Linked DNA regions of Mus musculus. Each later gene encodes a partner of the first gene's protein in a complex. Links are inferred from orthologs where the notes say so. Each region holds a gene or a part of one and is shown on either strand. Other genes may lie near its edges. The genes, in order: Upf3b and Magohb.

What was found.
Region 2: Upf3b (region 1) and Magohb share a complex: the UniProt entries of both Homo sapiens proteins name them as parts of the mRNA splicing-dependent exon junction complex. The link is inferred for Mus musculus from reciprocal best matches to the Homo sapiens genes UPF3B and MAGOHB.

Annotation. Positions count from the first base shown.
Region 1 is NC_000086.7:37,107,331-37,111,785, forward strand, and holds the start of Upf3b (regulator of nonsense transcripts 3B), read right to left. Parts: upstream 2,993-4,455; 5' UTR 2,902-2,992; coding exon 2,746-2,901; intron 1,925-2,745; coding exon 1,818-1,924; intron 1,692-1,817; coding exon 1,585-1,691; intron 1-1,584. UniProt on the Homo sapiens protein: Involved in nonsense-mediated decay (NMD) of mRNAs containing premature stop codons by associating with the nuclear exon junction complex (EJC) and serving as link between the EJC core and NMD machinery.
Region 2 is NC_000072.6:131,286,887-131,290,381, forward strand, and holds part of Magohb (protein mago nashi homolog 2), read right to left. Parts: intron 2,562-3,495; coding exon 2,503-2,561; intron 1,261-2,502; coding exon 1,150-1,260; intron 1-1,149. UniProt on the Homo sapiens protein: Required for pre-mRNA splicing as component of the spliceosome. Plays a redundant role with MAGOH in the exon junction complex and in the nonsense-mediated decay (NMD) pathway.

The DNA.
Region 1 (4,455 bases):
TTTAACTCTCCAGTCCAAGTTACCTGATCCCCTTGTCTGGCCTCTGTAGGCACTAGGCATGAATGTGATGCACAGACATACATACGGGCAACACCCATACACATAAAATACTTTTAAAAACAAGCACAATAAATGAAACTGTAAAAAGAAAAAAAAATCCACAGCAGGTTGGTGAGAGGGCTCAGTGTGTAACAGCACTTGCCACCAAGGTTGATGATCTGAGTTCAAGTCCCAAGACCCTCATGGTGGAAGGGAGACCACATGTTCCATAGCCTAAAGACACACAAAATAAACACATGCAGGTAATAAAACTGATTAAGAGGATAATAAGTCAATAGAAGCTAAATAAGAAATCATTGTTATCTACTAGAATAAAAAGGCTGGTCATAGCCGGGCATGGTGGTGCATGCCTTTAATCCCAGCACTTGGGAGGCAGAGGCAGGCGGATTTCTGAGTTCGAGGCCAGCCTGGTCTACAGAATTAGTTCCAGGACAGCCAGGGCTATACAGAGAAACCCTGTCTGGAATTAAAGAAAAAACAAAAACAAAACAAAACAAAAAAAAAAGGCTGGTCAGGAAAAAATAAAGACAGTTTGGGAAATGGGATAATTAGGCACCGTGTGTTAGGCACGAGTTACAATGTAGCAAAGAGTAAAAGTTGGCACGGTGAGAGAACCTTATTTGACCCTAAGTGTATATACATTGGACAAACACAGTTGTCAAGCCTTCAACTTGTTATCAGGCATATTCCACAACAAGGATTTACTATTTGCAAACTTGAAGTAATTGAGGAAATGAAAACAGACAGGAAACCCCACATCACTTGTCCATGAGTCAAAAACCAAATGAAAGGTGGCAAAAGGCAACTTGGATACATTCTAGCTAAACCCTGCAAACCCCAGACAGCAAACGGAAAGTGAGTCAGGAGTTCATTCCGAAATCTGTTAATGTTACACATTGTGTAGCTTGGATCCCAGGATGCTGTGGTGTGTTCCTGTTATTTGCCGATGCTGAGAATTGAACCCAAGGTCTCACATATCATCAATCATTGCGTTACATCTCCAGCCTGGGAGATGCAATTTGAGGCTTTAGTTTTCCGCAGCTTTGTGAGAAAGGTAAACAGTATTCTAACTGAGGACTAGCAACATAAAGGATACTAATTAGCATCTTTGAGGCAGGAAGTCGACATTTGAAACAAGTATAAAGTATCAAACAGGAGAAATCAGTGGTAATTATAGTCACTGGATCAAAGGAAAGAAATCATAAGTTAAGAAAACTATCTCAGGGTTATAAAAATTCTTTCAATGTTGCACATTTTATCTTAAAGGAGTTTAAGTCTAACCCACACAGACTTGGAGAAAGCATTGTATATTGCTCTCCCACACCCCTTCCTCCCTCTCCTCAACCCTATCTCTTTTCTTCTCTCTCTCTCAGTGGTCATTCTATGTAGTCCAGACTGACCTCAAACTTGGAGTCACCCTCCTGCTTCTGCATCCTTTGCTCTGATTACAGGCACATACCGCAAGTGGCAGCACACACTCTGTTCAATGTAACCATGAAAAACTCTCCTAAATCGTATACTCACCCTTATTGTCAAGGAATACATAGCCATCAAATCGGTCCCTGAATAAAAGAATGTCTTCTTGGTTTTTAAAGTTGATATATGCTCTGGCATACATATGAGGATAAAGGCTGTAGAGACGGAAAGCAATTACGTGACTATGGTTTCAGGTGTCTGACTGAATTGCAAACACATACACATTAAAGACACTAGCCCAAAAAGCGAAAAGGAGGGTAAAATATTAATTTTTTTTTTACCTAGTATCATTAGAAAAAAACTCAAAATAATCGTGCTCAGGCATAGGTTGAAGATGTTCCTGAAGCTGTTCCTTGGTCAAAGTGGGAGGTAATCTTCGAATTACCACCTTAGGAAACAAACGAGGAAAGGAAAATCAGTACATAGCAGCCAACTTTCTGGCATACCAGAATCATGGCTTCTGATAATCGGCTCTAAAATACAGACACTTACAAAAACACCGAACATATTCTCCTGCAATCCAATGCTATGAATTACTCAAAGGTATGGATAACGCGGGTTTATACAAACTCCTGGAAGTGACAACTGTCTGGGGCAAGGAAAATCCCAGGTTCTGTTCTTAAATGGAGTTTAAAACCCATTTTGAACGAATTCTGGTCTTTTGTCGGTGTCGCGACATTGTCTCTCTCACCGGTCTAAAATGCGCTAAATGAACTCCCTTCCCCATTCTGTGTACCACGGAAATCCTTTACCCATCGCCCTCCATCTGTCTGCTCCTCCAGGTTGGTCATCAATCCTCTTAATGTGCTCCCCCAACTCGCTTGCATTAACACGTACTTCACAATTACTCCCACCCCTAACCCCTGGTGTGGCAAGGTCTATTTAGCAATTCAAGCCAATTAAAGTTCCCCTATCTTTCCTGCTGCTCCCCTCTCTCATAACTACCCCACCGTCGCAGCTCTGAACTAACCTTTTCTCATCTGGGAACCCTCCTTTTCCCTCACCCCCACCCTCCATCCCCCCATTTCGGGGGCTTTATCAGAACCTGCTAATCCCATTTCCACCAGTGCGTGAGACAGTGCGAAGCAATTTCCATTCAGTTAGAAACAGAAGAGTTACCCGGGAGAGGAAGAGAGCAGCCCCATTCCCAGCCATGCTCCCCAGTCCGTGGACATGTCCCGCCCTCTTGTGCCACCACCCGATAGGCACCTTGCTCAAAGCTTCTTTCTTGTCCCTGTTGCGATCCTGCCTATCGTCCCCTTTGGCGCCTTCGGCAGTAGCGCCAATACAGCCGCCTGTGGCGCCCTGCGGCGTAAACAGGGTCACTCGTTTCTCCTTAGGCCTATGATCTTTTTCTTCCTTCATGGCCACGGTTACGCTCTTTAGAGCGGTGGCACAGCTGCTAAGCCGTTACGCCGGGCACCTACGACTCTCCGGGAGAGACCTCAGGAGCTCCGCCCCTAACAAATAGCCCTAGTGATAAGCAGAGCCCTGCGTTCCATTGGGCTCCCGGAGATCTCGCGAGAGTTTAAGGCCCTCGGTTTCACTCGGGGTTAGGGTTTTAATACCTGACCTTTACTTCCCGCCTGCCGAAGTCCCCATGCTGCCCAATCCCCTAGCGGCCCAGATTCCCTCGGGGCCCGCCCCTTAGCGCGTCATTAGCAACTCCGCCATCTTGTCTAGAAACGACTCGTTTCTGGACTACAACTCCCAGCATGCAAAGCAGCTGCCCGTTTAGGATTAGAAATGTGGGAATCATCCAGATTTTTAGTATATGTGATCATTTGATCTTAAAAATTTAGTGATTCTTTTTCAGATAAAAATACCATAAACATCTTAAGTATATATGATCCCTTAATCTTTTTGTTTGTTTGTTTTGTTTTTTTGAGACAGGGTTTCTCTGTGTAGCCCTGGCTGTCCTGGAACCCACTCTGTAGACTAGGCTGGTCTAGACCTCAGAAATCCACCTGCCTCTGCCTCCCGGAGTGCTGGGATTAAAGACGTGCGCCACCACTGCCCCGCTATGATCCCTTAATCTTAAAAGTTTAGTGCTTTTCTTTTTCAGATAAAAAATACCCACAAGGTTTTATGCCACGTGAGCCTATAATTGCAGCACTGGGGAATCTGAAAGAGAAGGATCAAGACAAATTCAAAGTGTGGTCTAAATAGCAACTTTCAGGCAAATTAGTGCTAGATAGTGGAACCGTACGTATATCAACCAAACAACCATCAGGTAAATAAACAGATAAGGAAAAGCTATTTAAAACTGAAGTATACTTTCAGAGGCATTAGGATTTACACATGCTCAAGAAACACACAAGATACTAATTTCAATGAATTATAACCAAAATGTATTACATTTGTTTTCACCACCTTTCTTTCTTTTCCAAATTAAAGAATTCTCTCCCAACACTGTTATCCAACAAGATGGGGAAAGGAAAATATCCAACTTGATTCTGTTCACTTTCTTCACTTTGAAAAAGGTCAAATACCCATTAACAGTTGAATGGACAAGCAAGATGTGATACATTCACAGAATGAAGTACAATGCCTTAGTAGTTGGTACATGCCATAAATTTGAGCAATAAAACGGACTCTTTAACCAGGTGTGGTAGCGTGTTCTGTAGTCCCTGCTTTGGGGAAGCTGAGTCAGGAGGGTCATGAAATACCCAACAAGATGTTTTCTGTAGAAGGAAAGAGGGAGGAAATGAAGAAAGGAAGAGAAGAATAAAGCATTTTGCTGGTGTGTCTGTCTGAAGGGGAGGGGAGTCTCCAGTACAGTTTGCTGGTGGCCAAAGAAACAAGGCACTGACCCACCTCAGTGTGGCAGGTTCCTGATCTGGGCAGGTGGTTCTCAGCACCATGATTAAAAATAACCATGGTGTGTTGCAATTAAGAAATGGGGTCTGGAGAGCAAGC
Region 2 (3,495 bases), on another chromosome or scaffold:
TACATAATTCAACCTACTCTGTTTCTGAATTTCTTTTTCTAGAATTGATGTTCAGAAATGTTACTAAGGCAAAGGTAAATAGAAAATATCAACATTTTCTGATGCATATTACAAAGCCACCCTGTGAAAAAGTATATCAACTTATTAATGCAGACAAATCTGCATGGCACATCCTCCCTGTAGGGCAGGTTCCATAGTTTTAAAGCACTCCACTGTTCTCTGTGGACACAGATGCCCAGTGACTATTATGCTAAAGGTGGTATTCCTGTAACTCGGGTTCCCGCCGGACACAGACCACTGCCTCTGCTTCCCTATACCATGCTCTGCACTGTGTTCCTGACACAGAACAGTTACTGCTACTTTCAGCTATATTAGATCTCTCTACAGATCTTTCTTCTAGGCAAAAAGAGTAGCTCATATAAAGTATAAGCCTCAGGAACACACAAAAGTGAGATTAAATATCTTCTCTCTCGACCTTGTACCTTACTCCTCCAGGGGTTGAAAAGACCCAATTTAGAAACCAAACTGTCTATACAGAGTGAAATTGGGCCTGCCGAGATCTTTGGGAGCACTTTGAGAAATATCAATTATTCTGAAGGGAATATGAGAGGCAAACACAATGGTTCACTGGAACAAAGAAATCCATCAGATCTCTCTCTGAAACACTCAAATACATGAATTTTAAAAGACAAACAAACAATTGGAAAAAGTGAATCACTGCACTCAATGAAAAGAACCATAACATTCAAATTTAGCTAGCAATGTTGTACGCACTTACAATAGAAACAATTAATAATAGCTCATTCATAATAAATAATTCATAAATGTCAAAATACCCCAACTTTCTCTGGACTAGCTAGAGAAAAGATGTAGAATACTGTCTAAATTTAGAGCTATGCACTAACACCTGTAGTAGCTGGAGGCAGCAAAGGAAATGATGCTAAGTAAGGGCTGGGAGCTGTAACCTGGAAGGAGCATTGGCTTGCCTGGCATGTATGAACATTGACTTCAACATCTAATACCAAAATAAAAGTTTAGAAAGAATATGAAGCTATATAATCAAAGTTTCAATAAGAAACCATCCTGAAAACACAGCAACTACATTACCAACTTTGACTCTATCCACTTAAGGAGTCACTAGGCACAGACCTGCCGCCCAACCCTGTCAGGGGGTGGCCACAGAGCGTCGTCCTCTTTTGTAATTTCACTGTCGTCAATAATTCTCTTCAGTTCTTCCATTACACTCTTGTGGACATAGGCCTGAAAAGTCAGTTACAATAAGATCTTTGAACGCCTGTCTGTCTTCCCACAGTTCAGCAAGATATAATAAAAGCCAGTTCCAAGTCCTAAATATCCAAACAGAATGGGAGTGAAAAGTAAACTTGACCCCAGAGCTGCAGGATAAAATTCATCCTTCTCACAAATGCTACTCTCCCTACACCCATGTCCTTTACCACACACAGGTGCCATCTGCTCACACTAGCTGCTCTGAGGCCCCATATTCTGCCAGGGTAGTAGGGGTACCAGGCAGCTTACAGTTACAGGGCCAGTATTAGCTGTAGACTGAGGGCACAGCACAAGCACACAGGAGCTGGCACTTGAAGCCCAGCCTAACTTCCTCACCTTCCATTTAAAATTGAAACTAGGAAAGAAGATAGCATTTGAAATGTAAAAGAAAACATCTAAGAAAAAAATTTATACTTCATAAAATGAATTAAATGATATGGGCTGTAAGTATTTAGGCTGACTCCTTTGTTAAAACTGCCACCAGGATGGCTCAGTGGGTAAAGAAAGCCGAGAAAAAATACCTGCGTTCAATCACTAGAACCCATATAGTAAGAGAAAAAAAAAAACAATTTCTACCAGCTGTTCTTTGATTTCTACCAGGCATACTATGTATGTTACATGTGCATACCCATACAAACACACAATAAAAAAAAACTTTTTAAAAATGCTAAAATTGCTGGGCAGTGGTGGCGCACGCCTTTAATCCCAGCACTTGGGAGGCAGAGGCAGGCAGATTTCTGAGTTCGAGGCCAGCCTGGTCTACAGAGTGAGTTCCAGGATAGCCAGGGCTACACAGACAAATCCTGACTCGAAAAAACAGAAAAAAAAAAAAAAAAAAAAAAGCTAAAATCATATGTAATTAAAATAGAAACCTTTCAATCTATAAATTAGTTTCTTCTTGAAAGAGACCCTTGACATAACTTCAGTCAACACAGACAAGATAAATGAACAAAATGTTAAAAATTTGACATTTAAAAAGAAGTTAGCCAGAGGCAGGTGGATCTCTGAGTTCTAGGCTAGTCTGGTTGGTCTACACTGTGAGAGCCAGGACAGCAGGGCTACAAAGTGAGACCCTGTCTCAAAAAAGGAAGAAAGAAAGAAAGAAAGAAAGAAAGAAAGAAAGAAAGAAAGAAAGAAAGAAAGAAAGAGAAAAAAAAGTCAAGCATGTTTGCACGCATGCACACACACATGCATGAACAAATGAACAGAACTTGCCTCTTTTCTGATCATCACGTCATTTTTATAATTACTGTTGTTGGCATATCTAAGCTTCCCTGTGTGGAGAGAAAGAAAGAACATCATGAGTAATTAGAGGTAAAGACAATTTCATAGTCCCACTTTTATTAGTATATCTACTTTTCTCATGCAAGATCAATGCTAAATAATAAATATAAAAGCAGGCTAGTAATTCTTAAAACATTCCATACCTTCAACATAAAATGGGTCAGGTTTGTTAAGGTCTATTTGCTTTCCTTCCTTCCTTTCCTTCCTTCCTTTCCTTCCTTCCTTCCTTTGAGACAAGACCTCACTGTGTAATGAGGTTGGCAGCCTTGAACACACAGGGATCTATCCACCTGCCACTGTCTCCTATGTTTGGGGATTAAAGTTGTGCACAATAAACAGTTTTATTTTCTTAATCTAGCCCTAAACACAAAGTGACTATGTCTAAGCACTAAGTATTCTCTTCAGTGTCATATGTTAGTGGTAAACGCTGACTGCACTCACAACATTTCATCTAATCTCTAAAGGAATTCCAAGAACAGCTTTCACTTTCTCGCCTCTTCACAGGAGATAAAATCAAGTTAAGCAACTTGCAGAGCTGCAGAGTATCAAAAGGTCTGTTTTGCATCAACTCTTTCTCTATTGTTCCAAAGTACTCTCTTAATTCCTTTCCTTCATATTAGTGCATTTTGCTAATAATTTTTTTTAAACTAGGAAGCAAGCAAAGGACATGAACTGCCAAGTTTGTTAGCTGCTTTATTTCAACCCATCCTTCAGACCTCTGAAGCCCCTGGTGTGTGCTTCCCTGCATGGTGAGTCAGTTAGGGGCCCTGATACAGCTGTAATGTCTTTCTCATCTGCTAAACTGACAGGTTACCCTACTGGGGTGTACCCCTCAGGAACTGTAGATCTCATGGTTCATTATTTTCCATGTAAGTGGAACAATGCAGTGGCAGAGACGCATGAGAATAAATCCTTACATAAAAT